3 linked regions of the Cricetulus griseus genome follow. The protein of the gene in region 1 interacts with the protein of each later gene in a pairwise test. Links are inferred from orthologs where the notes say so. Each region holds a gene or a part of one and is shown in the gene's direction. Other genes may lie near its edges.

Region 1 (3,956 bases):
AGCCTCAGAAAGCCTTCCAATTGTTGTTATGTGGACTCTGACTTCAGCTCTTATTGGACTTTCTTTTCCATTGCAATAGTAATCCTTAAATTAAATCTCTCCTCATTACTTTGATGTCCTCCTTGTTGACCTCTAGCAGTAATAAAATTATGGAAATCAAACAATTTTGTACTAATTTGGTCACTTTGTGTTAACCTGTGAATTGAAAGAGAGAAAGAGAAAAAATTCCAGACATTTAGCCTTCTGTTTCTGTCTTAGATTGTCCTAAACTATCATTTGCATTCTAAGAGCCCACAAGAACAAAGCCAGTGCAGCAGAAAGCAATTCCATGTCTAAAAGACAGAGGAGACTTTGTTCCAATCTCTTGTTCTGGTTTTAAAGTTCTTATTGTCTGAGTATCCATGTCTTTTTCTCCTTGTTTGAAAATTGTAGAACTAAAACACGCTTATAGAACCCTTAGAGATCTGAGATTAAATGAAAAAGCCTATGTGCTATGCTGTACTAAGGCACCATAATTACCAATAAATATTTGCTCCCATATATTTTTACTTCATGATAAGCCTCAGCGAGATTCACCTGCTTTCTGTTGCTGGGATAATATGCTTTTGATACTTGCCTGTGGTTTCCTCCATCAGGCAATGAGTTTCTTTGTGGATCACCTTTCCGCAAGCATCCAGTTCCTCCAGCTGTGAAGTAGTTAATGTGTGTTTACAGAATGCACACATGCACAGATGTGTGCATGCAAGCAGAATACGAACAGACCAATGGTGAGCTCAAGGTACCAAAACTGCTTAACTGTTTACACAGGACACATCTACTAATCATGCCAACCCACATCAATTAATCATGCCAACTTGGTTCAGAGTGTAACTGAAGTCGTAGCATTGATTTCAAACAACAGCCATGCACTACGACGTTTCAGATTTCTTCAGAATTTACAGCCTCAAAAAAAGGATCTAGAGGGAAAAAAAATGGGAAATTACTCCAACGTGATTTTCATTTCCTGCTTTGGGCACTGGCTAGACTACTTATACTGAGTTCCATAAACCTCAGCAAAGAGCTGTTTCAGGGTTCTGTTTAGAGAGCCTCAAAACGACAGTTATCTTACTTGGAAAGAACATTCAAGTGCTCTGCCTACCCAAGGCCCTACAAAACAATGGAATATCAAGAGACTCTGGATGAAGATGGGTATACTCAATTAGACTTCAGGACTCGAGGCATCCTAAAAAGACCTGTGGAGTCAGAGAAAGGTATTCATTTTCATTTTCTCTCTGCTTATAGAACCTTCATCCTTATCAACAATAGTAGAGACCTGGGCAGACTCTTGATTTGTAGGACTTTCTAGTGAAATATATATATGTATATGTACATACATGTATATAGATATATATATTGGAAGAGTCATCACAGATTCCTTGGATGTTCACAAAACCTCTTTTTGGAAACTACCCAATGACTTCCACAGATTGTTTTTGATTTGTGGCGATAACCAGGACTGCTCCACTCTGGAGTCACAGATGCTTCATCAGTGGGAAGTGGGGTTGGTAACATGAGTGATAGGCGAAGATGAAGGAATTTTAATGAGTTACTTGCTGCTTGTGAGGGGGCCAAGAAACTCAAAATAGTGTAAATGAACCTGTACAATCTTACTATATATAGTGCCAAAGGGACAGGGTATGAAATCGTAGAGGATTCCATGGAAAATAAAAATGAATACATCTTTGGTGAAACCCAAAGAGTAGCCAGGAGTCACAGAGTTTTAAATCCCAAATCTGATATACTTTTGTGGGAAGAGACTAATTTGAAATTTTCAAAACTTGTTGCTGGTATACCAGGGATGGAAAACATATGCTAGAATAAAATGTCTAATTGGCAGGACATAGGAGATTCTTAAAATGGAAACAGTGCAAGATATACAGAATGTTAAAGGATCTCTCTCCTCACAGGGTAGGTGCTTTACTCTCTTTCTGGATCTCCTATTGGTCATCTCTGTGACTTGGGCTTCTGGTGTTGGTGTGGTAAGCTTAATACAAAATCAGTTCAGCGCTATCATTAAGGAAAAGATGACTCATGGGTTCTGACATTACAATTTGCTTTCTTCTGCTTTTTTGGCATTCACATTATGCAATTATTTTCTTCTTATAACCACTTACACAACCCCTTCCTTGTGCAATTAGCTTGTAAGATGGTAGAAAACTGAGTGAGGGAAGGGGCAAGGCTTTTGCTTGTGCTGTGTAAAGTACAAAGTGCTCCCAGTTGCTGGAAAGGGTGTTTCTATGCATTTTTAGATCACTTACTTCCAACAACAGTATTTTACGGTGTTACTGATCCAGTATCAAAAATGGAAACTTAAAAAATAAATAAATAAAAAGAAGGGGGTGGAGAAAGTAGTTTGTCCAAATGATGCACCAAATAAATAAAAAAGGAAACCTACCCTTAATAACTAGTTCTGTTTCTCCTACAGAAAACTGCTCACCCTATGAACAAGTAGGATTTCAGGGAATGAATAACACCCAGACCTATAGACTAGCATGTGAACCTGCAATTGAGGGGTATGCAGATGGCAAGGCATAGCCAGGAGTCACAGGGTTTTAAGTCCCAAATATGATATACTTTTGTGGGAAGAGACTCATTTGAATTTTTAAAAACTAGTTGTTGGTATATCAGTGATGGAAAGCATATGCTAGAAGAAAATGTCCCATTAGCAGGAGACAGATCTTAAAATGGAAATAGCACAAAATACGCAGGATGGGAAAGGGTGATAACACAGCTGAAGCAATTGAAGAAGAGCCATGCTGAAGCTGGGGACAATGGAGACTCGTACTACAAGACTAGACTCTCAGGACACTGACTCTAGTGGCTGATGACCCCTTTAGAACTGTCCCCACTTCAGTATGCTGGGCAACTAAAGGCTTCCACAGACTTTTCTTATTTTCTTTCTCATCTCTCTGGCTTTCAGGAAGCCGGTCTTCATCTCTCCCTTGGCGTCCCATTGCGGTGGCCTTGGGAATCCTGTGTTTGGTCGCACTAGTGGTTGCTGTAGTCCTGGGAGTCCTAGGTGAGTATGGATGAGGGAGATTAATGACAGTCACAGAGAATTAATCTGTGCATCAATCCCATTGAGTTCATGATATTAATTTCCATTTCACTTATAGGAGAATGGAGAGATTGGAAGATTGACTATTCCATTGCTATAAATTAGTTAGCGGTGGGATCATGAGTAGAAATGTAGACAATCTGCTTAATAAAACATATATTCTTAGCTATATTGCTCTACTATTCTACATGAATATCTTACTTTTTTAAAAGAGGAATTTGTAAGGTAAGTTAGTGGAGGGGAACTTACAGAGCTGGAGAAGGAAACAAAATATGCTGTTATCTTTCCTAGGGCATAGCTATATTAAAGGAGTTGTGTGTAATTTTATGAACCTTTGGACACATGGAAATTATCTCACAGATGATCTTTACTAAGAAAAAATCTTGACTCTTCCAAGTATTGCCTGAGGCACTTAAAACATACTAAGCAGATATTTTGTGATTGACGAATAGATCTCTTTAGGTTTCTATATCTCATGAATCCTGTGTCAATACAATTATATGATCTTTTCAAAGAGTCTTCATTGCTCATAATTAGTCAAATGCTTATTAATGTGTGTACAAACACACTCCATTTATTACAAGCTGGGCAATCCTCAAAGAGCTGCCCTTTTTAAATAATAGGAGAAAGCAGAAAGGATATTATTGTCCTTGAATTATTATTATTTCAAATTTTTATGATTTCAGCTAAGTCTGTGTCATTTTCTTCTTGCTTCCTTCTTCACAAAAGTTATTCCTTTCCACACATCTGATCAATCATCCATGTATCAACCATCAGACTCTGTCTTTTTCATCAGCAACGTAGCATTGATTTACCATTAATCATAGATATTCCCTATTAGCTTTCATAAAATATGGGG
Region 2 (4,268 bases), on another chromosome or scaffold:
AAACATGGCTCTTGTTTTTTTCTTGCCTGGTGTGGTAGTGTGCCTGTGACCCCAGCAATTCCGAGGTTGAGACATAGGGTTGGTGCTGTAGCTCAGCAGTGTGTGAGAATGTGCTCAGTACGTGCAAGGCCCTAGGCACTGTAAGAAAGAGAATTTTTGGTTGAGAATGGTGGAGCTGTCTATAACCAAGACCTGGGAGGATGGGGCAGGAAGATGCAAAGTTCAAGACTAGCCTAGGTTACACAAGGAATCTGTCCAAAAAAAAAAAAAAAATCAAACATAGATCAGTGGCAGTGGACTTGTGTGCAAGGCCTTGAATATAATAATCTCAGCACTCCCGACAGAACAGAACAGAAGTCAGAGCTGCATACTGTAATCCAAGAACTTGGGAGGTGGAAGCAGTAGGATCAGGAATTCAAGGCTAGTTTTTGATACACAGACATTTCAAGGCCAGACTCCTTTATGACATCCTGTCTGGAAAGGAAAGAAACAAACACCAAATGAAGTTGCTTCTTGTGATCTGACTCACTACGGCAAAGAAAGCCTCTTTTAAGGTTCACACCCCCCCTTCTCTATTCCAGAACTGTATCCAGAGGAATTCCACTCTCCAAGAACAGAGGAGTGACTGGGTAGGGTACAAGGACAATGCAGAATCCTTCTCAACACTGTCCCTCCAAAGGCCTCTCCTTTGTTCCAAATTGTTCCAAAATACACTGATCTTCCCTTGCAGCCTGCCATGGCATCCCCCACCTAACCATTGTTGCTGCAGCAGAATGCTGGCGAATTTTGCTTGTTTTGCTTTGCCTTGTTTTAGAAAGTCTCACACTGTGCAGCCCAGCCTGGCCTTGAACCAGGACTTGGGCTACAGGCATGCACAACCACTCCAGCATTGTGTTTTTCTTAAAAATTCAGCCAAAAATCCTAAGTGTTCACAGAGACAGCGAGACCACCGCATGCTCGCGTCGCTGGCGCCCGCAGGTTCGGAAGCTGGGGGTAGAGTGGGTCAACCGCGGGGCAGGAGGAGGTCCCCAACCCATGCTAGCTAGCCAGAGCAGAGCCCGGCGTCAGGTCCTCCACGTCACGCCTACCTCAGGGCCCGCCCATGCCATGCCCACCTCAGCCTGGCTTTAGGCCCCTCCCCTAGCGCCTCAGTGTTGCTCGCACCTCGGAGCCCCAATGCTCCCGCGTCGAGCCCACCCCAAGCCTCTCCTGTATCCGTGCAGGTCCCGGTCCCAGCGGCTCTAGCCTCAGGCCCCGCCCCCAGCTCCTTGGCTCACGGGCTCAGAAACCGCCGCCCCCCAGAGCCTGCTGCCTTGGGCCCCGCCTCCGCCCCAACCAGGCTCCACCCCGCGCACGCGCCGCACGTGCCGCACGCGCCCCGCGTTCCTCCTCCACCTGTAGGCCCCGCCTCCCAGCCAATGGGCGCCGCCGCCGCCGCGTGCGTCCTGCCCCGCCCCGCCCCTTGTCCCTCAGCCCCGCGTCGGCTGGCCGCAGAGCTGAGCGGGCGGCGGCGGCGGCGGCGCTCGTATATCCCTCCCGGGTGACCGCCGCTGAGGCCTGCTGCAGCTGGGCTCGGGCTCTTCTGCCGAGCTACCATGTCGCAGAGCGGGGAGGAGAACCTGCAGGGTAAGGCTGTGGGCTGAGAGGAGGGGGTCGCGGGGTGGCAGGGGTGTCGTGCGTGGAGGCCGCGATGCTGCGAGGGGCAGCCGGGGTTGGGCGGTGAGCCCCGGTGCATCTTACAGACCGTCTCTTTACAGCCAGGCCGGGCTGGATCTTCCGCGGTCTGTTGTCACACTGTCATAGTTCCGTGTCTTCACAGTCTCGTTAGGTCAGGCAAGCCTCGAACTCCCCGAGATCCTTCTTCCTCAGCTTCCTGAGTAGCTTACAGGCCTTCCGCATCCCCTACGCCTGGTTCAACGTTGTTTAAGTGAGCCAGAGGCTGCAGGTTGAATATTCAGTGTTTTGATTGAAGTCATTAGTATTTATGACCATAGTGCCTCTCACTTTTCCCACTTGGTACTGGCTATGGAACCAGGTTTGAACGTGCGAGGTCAAGAGCTCAACCTCTGAACAACACCACTACTAATTTTCATTTTATAATTTAAGACATACTGGCTTTGAACTTGGGATCATCCTGCCTCAGCCTCTGGAGTAGCTGGAATTAACACCCCGCCCCCCTCAACCCCTGGCTTGCTTTGTCATCTCTTCTTAGTGGAAGAGGAGGATCTAAGGCTTCAGACCACAGTCATCTCTTACTCAGAGTTAAAAGATTGTTATCTGTTTTTGTTTTGTTTTCGAGACAGGGTTTACTGTAGCTTTGGAGCCTATTCTGGCACTTGCTTTGTAGACCAGACAGGCCTGAAACTCAGAGATCCGCCTGCCTCTGCCTCCCGAGTGCTAAGGGCGTTCGCCAACAGCGCTCGGCCTCTTATCTTTAAGAAGTGTTATCTTAAAGGGCAGTGGTGGCCCTTTAATCCCAGAACTCAGGAAGTATCGGCAGAAGGACTCTGAGTTCAGGGCCAACTTGGTTTACAGAGTGAGTTGCAGGATAGCCAGGGCTACACAGAGAAGGGCTGGGGGTGCTTCTCGTGTGGATGAGAGCTACAAACAGCACAAAATGGTAAAGTGTTTATGATTCAGCCCAGTAATCTCACTGTAAGCGGTTTGTAGGTTAAGAAAATGGAAGCTACGTTGGGTGTGGTAACACATCTAAAATCCCATCACAGGAGAGGGTAGAAGCTGAATCTTGACGAATTCAAGGTTAGCCTGAACTACACAGCAGTACTGGGCTAGTTAGGGGGTGTGTATCCAGACGCTGTCTCACAAACAAAAAGGCTCCCCTAGCATACAGACTTTACAGACTATTAGCATTGAGCAGACAGCTGTAGTTTTGCAAGGCCATCCTGAATTGTTTGTGTCATCATACATTTCTGAGAGCCCCCTAGGGATCGAGTTAAGAGCTCAGCCTTAATCCTAAAGGCCCAAGAACTGGAGGAGGATCCTGTTGACCTTTGTATTCTCTGAAGCAAGAGTTCACTCAGTAAAATGAGCATGTAAATAAACATGAGAGGGCCATCTGAACCTTTAAAGTTAGTGCTTTACAAACTTCTTTTCTGAGAGAGGGTCTCACTGTTTGCCTACCTCTGCCTCCTGAGTGCTGGGATTAAAGGTGCACCCAGTTTAGTGGGAAGATTTGGTTTGTTTTTGGATTTTTGAAATATGGTTTTTCTGTGTAGCTCTGGCTTTCCTAGAACTTGTATAGATAGCTGTCCTGGAACTCACAGAGATTACCTGCCTTTGTATCCTGGAGTGCTGGAATCAATATCATACAACGCTGCTAGGCTGTGTTAAGAATTTTTAAAAAGCTTGTATTAAAATTTAGTGATTTGAGCTGGGCCTTGGTGGTGCACACTTTTAATCCCAGCACTCGGGAGGCAGAGTCAGGTGAATCTCTGTGAGTTCGAGCCAGCCCTGCTCTACAGAGCGAGTTCCAGGACAACTTCCAAAGCAATACAGAGAAACCCTGTTTGGAAAAACCAAAAAAAAAAAAAAAAAAAAAAAAAAAAAGATTCAGTGAGCTGCATTTATTTATTACTCTAAACAAGATTTTAGTAGGCAGAATTTTAGTAGGCCAGTCTAATACATTACAGAATCTGTATTTAAAACTACAGCCACATTAGAAAAAAAAATCTTGTAATTCAGGTTTTACTCCTTAATGTCAAACAGTTGCAGTTTCTCCTTTGACAGACTGAGAAGCTTTATTGTCTTTTCTCTTAAAATGAGATCAAGGAATGTTTTATAATGTTTGCTGTAAAGTCACTTTTGTAGTTACTGAGATTTTATATCTATCACTGCTACTTAGATTTCATCTCTGGAAGTTTCTGGGTACCCCTGAGAGGTCTCAATTACCACCTAATCCCTTAACATACACTTTAGACTGCTGAGTCATTGGTAAAGTGTGGTTGTCATTTGTCATTTCAAGGGTTAAGATGCTTTTTGTTTTTCTGCTTTGCTTATTCTATAAAAAGATGGTTACTGTGTGGAAACTCACGCTAAGGATTTGGGCCATTGTTTGGGGTGTACGTGCAGCCCGGCACTGGCTCACCGTCTAGCCCAGGGTAGGAGGGGTCACTTGAGTCACATGGGATATCTCAGCTGCCCTATGAAATGTGAATCCCAGCTTGGAGTCTGAGCTCCTCTGCCTGCCTGTTCTGCTCAGCTTCTTGTTTACTTCTGAGGCTGAGAGCTGTGGAAGCCTTGTTGGTAGG
Region 3 (4,195 bases), on another chromosome or scaffold:
ATGGTTGAGCAGTATATAGCATGTGCTGGTCTTGTAGAGGACCGGAGTTTGATTTTCAGCACCCAGGTTGGGTGGCTCACAACTTCTAGAAAGTTCAGCACTAGCGCGATCTGTTACCTCTGGCCTCTAAAGGCAAACATGTGTAATTAAAAATAAATCTTAGACCTGGGCGTTGGTGGCACACGCATTTAATCCCAGCACTCGGGAGGCAGTGGCAGGTGGATCTCTGTGAGTTCGAGACCAGCCTGGTCTACAAAAGCTAGTTCCAGGACAGCCTCCAAAGCCACAGAGAAACCCTGTCTCAAAAAACCAAAAAAAAAAAAAAATCTTAGATTATTGTGTACGTGTGTATGGTTTATAGGGGAGGGCACAGGCCACGGTTCATATGTGGAGGTCAGAGGACAACTTTGTGGAGTTAGCTTTTCATCTAACCTGAGTTCTGAGAAACCAACTCTGTCATTAGGTTTGCACAGCAAGCTGAGCTAGCTCACTGGCTGGTCCTAGAAGTGTGGATATTCCCAGATCATAGTTTGTTTGGTTTTGTTTCACAATTACATGAAAATTTTCAACTTTGCAAACAGAAACAAAGTTAAAAGACAAGTACCGTATTGAGAAAACTTCCTATACAAAAAACCAGGTCAGGGAAATTTGGCAAAGATAGGATGTAGGAGTATTTAGGAACAGTCAGGAGCATACAAGAGTTAGATCATTTCCAGAGATTGGTAAGCGTCAGGGTTTGGGTAGATCTGGTTTTTGTTGTTGTTGCTTTTTACTTTGTGTTTGAAGGCAAAAGGGCTTGCGCTGTAGCCTAGGCTGCAGGGAACTCGCTATCCTCCTGCCTCAGCTTGCGCGAGGGCTGGCTTGACAGGTGTGCGCCACGCCCAGCCATTATAGATTCTTCACTAGGATTGCATGTTACCTTTGCAATTAAAATTTCAGAAATTCCAGGCGGGTGATTAGCTCCAAGGTACCTCACACGGTGTCCTGTGGGAGGCACGGACGGATGTTTCACCAAGGGAAGGAACTGGGGTTTTCTGCTTCTTTAAAGCCAAGGTTGAGTTCTTACGTGTCCGCTGCAGGCGTGGGAGGGACTCCATTCACGCCCGGCGCTTCCGGGCTGCACTCTCCTCCCTGGACCAGACACAAGGCCAACTGCCTAGCTCAACCCTTGTGGCTAGTGCGACTGACTCTCAGGAATTCGTTCCCAGCGCCCGCCCGCCGCCCGCCGCGTCAGCACTACTCAGGCACCCGCACGTCCCGAACAGCCCTCTAATGCCCCGCCCCAGGCCGTCCCGGACACGCCCCCTCCCCGCTCAGACCCCGCCCCCTGCCACCAGTGTTGTCATCACGTGGTCTGGGAGGGTCCTGATGTCACGCGGGGAGGGACTGCGCAGACGCAGAAAAGGGGGCGGGGGGACTCGACTTGTTGTGTTGCTGCCCGAGAGCCGGATACTGTCGTGCTGCGGCCGCGCCGCTCCCAGTCTCCCGACCATGTCTCACTTAGTTGAGCCGCCGCCACCCCTGCACAACAACAACAACAACTGCGAGGAAGGGGAGCAGCCCCTGCCGCCGCCCGCCGGCCTCAACAGTGAGCGCGGGGCCGCCGGGCTCGGCGGAGGGATGGGGGAGGAGGAGCCGTTCGGCCGCCGCCGCCGCCGCCGCGCGGGGGGGCGGGAGCAGACGGCAGCCCATTGGTCGGGACCGAGGCTGCGCGTGTGACTGACAGCGGCGCGTTCCCGTCAGGAGCAGGCGCTCGGCGCTGGCTCGCGGCCTGCGCTCCCGGCGCCGAGGCTTAGGGTCGCGGCGGGCGTCGGAAGCGGGCGGCGCGCGCAGCTGGGGGCGGCTGGGGCTGACGGGCGGAGCGGGGCCGGGAACGTGCGGCGGGGACGCCGGGAGATGGACGCGGCCCGCCGGGCGTGGCGGGTGGACGTGCGGCAGCGCAGGTGTGCGGGGCTCGCCCTATACCACATGCCAGTCCAGGGGTCAGCGGAGTTTTGTGCAGGGTGCTTGTACCGCCCCTGTCATTTACCTTTTTTTTTTTTTTCCTGAGAATTTCCCAAGTTCCTTAAGTGAGTTTTTTTTAATCGTTGTTGTTAACCTGGAATTATTTTATTTTAGTACCTTTTCTTTTTTGAGACAGTCTCATGTAGCCAAGGCTGGCCTCGAACTCGCTGTGTAGCTGATGATGAACTGACCCTCCTGCCTTCAACCTCCCAAGTTCTGGGATGACAGTCATAGGCCACCGTGCTCAGGGCTTTTCAAGTGCTGTTTCTTGTGTGACATGGATTGAGTGGCCAGCCGGTCCCCTCAGATCACACCCATCATCAATCTGGGCAGTGGACTTTGGGAAATACAGTGAACAACACAACAGACCTAGGACACAAGCACTGGCACTTGAAAGTTGATGGTCAGGATGGAGTTGCAATCAAATGGAGTGCACTTCTAACAGACGTCTTGTCCTCAGAGTGTCCCCTGTTGTTGTGAGATCAACCGACCTTCTTGCCCAACCTTTCTGTACTTCGTGTCTTATGAAAGAGGCAGTGGGGGTAGTTGGCATATGGCAAGGCAAAGTTCTTTAAAAGCCATTTGGATGTTTAAAGGTCAGGCGGTGTCTTTCATAAGAGGGGGTGCTTCAGGCGTGGCCAGATAGTTTGACGAAGAGCTGTTGCTGAGCCTACAGGATGAGAAGACCATTTGGGTATTTTACCTCATTGTGGTGGCGCATACCTGTCATTCCAGCAGTGTGGAGTAGAGGCCAGCCTGGGCCCCAGAGTAAGACTGTTTCAAAACAAAACCAAAAAATCAGTAAATAAAAAGAATTCAGGTATTTGAAGATGCTCTGCCCCTGCCCCATCTTTTGATAAGACACATCTCTAAATGCTGGTTTTTAAAAAGATTTAGTCAGTGTGTCCTTAAATGTTACTCCTATCACGTAATATTAAATTTAAAATTTTCTATCTGTCCTTAGCATACATTTTTAGAAATGATGAGACAAAAGAGATACCTGTTGTGTTCTTCCTAGAAGTGGTGCTTGTGATTTGAGTTCCCACGGTGCTTTCAGGAGTCTTGTCTTGGGGTGTGCGTGCTTATTTACATGTGTGCCTTCTGCCTGGTCCCTTCTGAGTCAGTTGTGCTCGGTGTCTTCTTAATACTTAAGTGTTTGGTCAGTGTGGGTATGTGGTTTCACAGAATACAAAGGGATTTTTACTTTCCTTAAGGCTTTATTAACAACAGAACCAAAAAGGGTTGAGCTCTATGTGATTGTTTATCCCAAAGTCTGACAGAGCTTTGATGTGTTTGTCATAGGCCAGTCAGCTTCTGCTTCATTTTTAGTGGCTCTTACAGGAGCAAACGAACCCCCAGCCTACATGTGATACCAGATGTTAGTTTGGAAAGTCAGCTAGATAGAAAGCCTTGGACTTGGGCTAGGCTGCCCTTTTAAAAGTCAACGAAAAGCTGTTAGATGATGCCAGGTTTAACTACTGGCCTTGCCTCTTTGTTTGCTTTGTAAAGCTCATCATACAGCCCCGAGTTGAACAAAACAAGCAGTATTGATTCCTCCAAGTGATTTTTTTTTTTAAGGTGCTGAGCAAAACAGTTTATTCAGGAATTTAATACTATCTGAATTCCTGATAAGTCCAAGTACTTTGCTGGCTGCAGTTCCACAGCTGTGGAAAACAGAAGCTGAAATGAATGCAGATTATCTCTGGCTTGAGATTTTTATCTTTAGTTCAAGAATCATGGCAGAGGAGGTTTTGTATGGGTGTGCCTGCATGCATTTATACTCACCGTGTTCTTGCTGGTGCCTACCAGGGCGGGGAAAGGGCATCAATTCCTCTGGAACTGAAGTTAGATGTGGTTGAGATCCTCTGGAAGAGCAGACACTGCTCTTAACTGTTGAGCCATCTCTCCAGCTCCACAGCAGAGTTTTAATAGCAATTTTTTGAAATTTCTTTTTTTCTTTTCTTTTTCTTTTTTTTTTTTTTTTTGGAGATAGGGTTTCTCTTTGTAGCTTTGGAGCCTATCCTGGCACTCGATCTAGAGACCAGGTTGGCCTTGAACTCACAGAGATCTGCTTGCCTCTGCCTCCCATTAAAGGCGTGTGCCACCCACGCCCAGCTTTTTTTTTTTTAAATTTCTTAAAGATTATTTTAAATTATATACCTATGTATCTCTCACTTGAGTGCAGATACCC

Evidence for each region.
Region 2: the proteins of C-type lectin domain family 7 member A (region 1) and Bnip3 interact in binary tests that used the Homo sapiens proteins (3 or more experiments, as listed by UniProt). The two-hybrid records come from large-scale screens. The link is inferred for Cricetulus griseus from reciprocal best matches to the Homo sapiens genes CLEC7A and BNIP3.
Region 3: the proteins of C-type lectin domain family 7 member A (region 1) and Bnip3l interact in binary tests that used the Homo sapiens proteins (3 or more experiments, as listed by UniProt). The two-hybrid records come from large-scale screens. The link is inferred for Cricetulus griseus from reciprocal best matches to the Homo sapiens genes CLEC7A and BNIP3L.

Annotation. Positions count from the first base shown.
Region 1 is NC_048601.1:16,596,448-16,600,403, forward strand, and holds the start of C-type lectin domain family 7 member A, read left to right. Parts: upstream 1-1,156; coding exon 1,157-1,250; intron 1,251-2,959; coding exon 2,960-3,058; intron 3,059-3,956.
Region 2 is NC_048596.1:62,069,220-62,073,487, forward strand, and holds the start of Bnip3 (BCL2/adenovirus E1B 19 kDa protein-interacting protein 3), read left to right. Parts: upstream 1-1,468; 5' UTR 1,469-1,595; coding exon 1,596-1,626; intron 1,627-4,268. UniProt on the Homo sapiens protein: Apoptosis-inducing protein that can overcome BCL2 suppression. May play a role in repartitioning calcium between the two major intracellular calcium stores in association with BCL2.
Region 3 is NW_023276807.1:221,983,189-221,987,383, reverse strand, and holds the start of Bnip3l (BCL2/adenovirus E1B 19 kDa protein-interacting protein 3-like), read left to right. Parts: upstream 1-1,395; 5' UTR 1,396-1,491; coding exon 1,492-1,588; intron 1,589-1,919; exon of another isoform or gene 1,920-1,943; intron 1,944-4,195.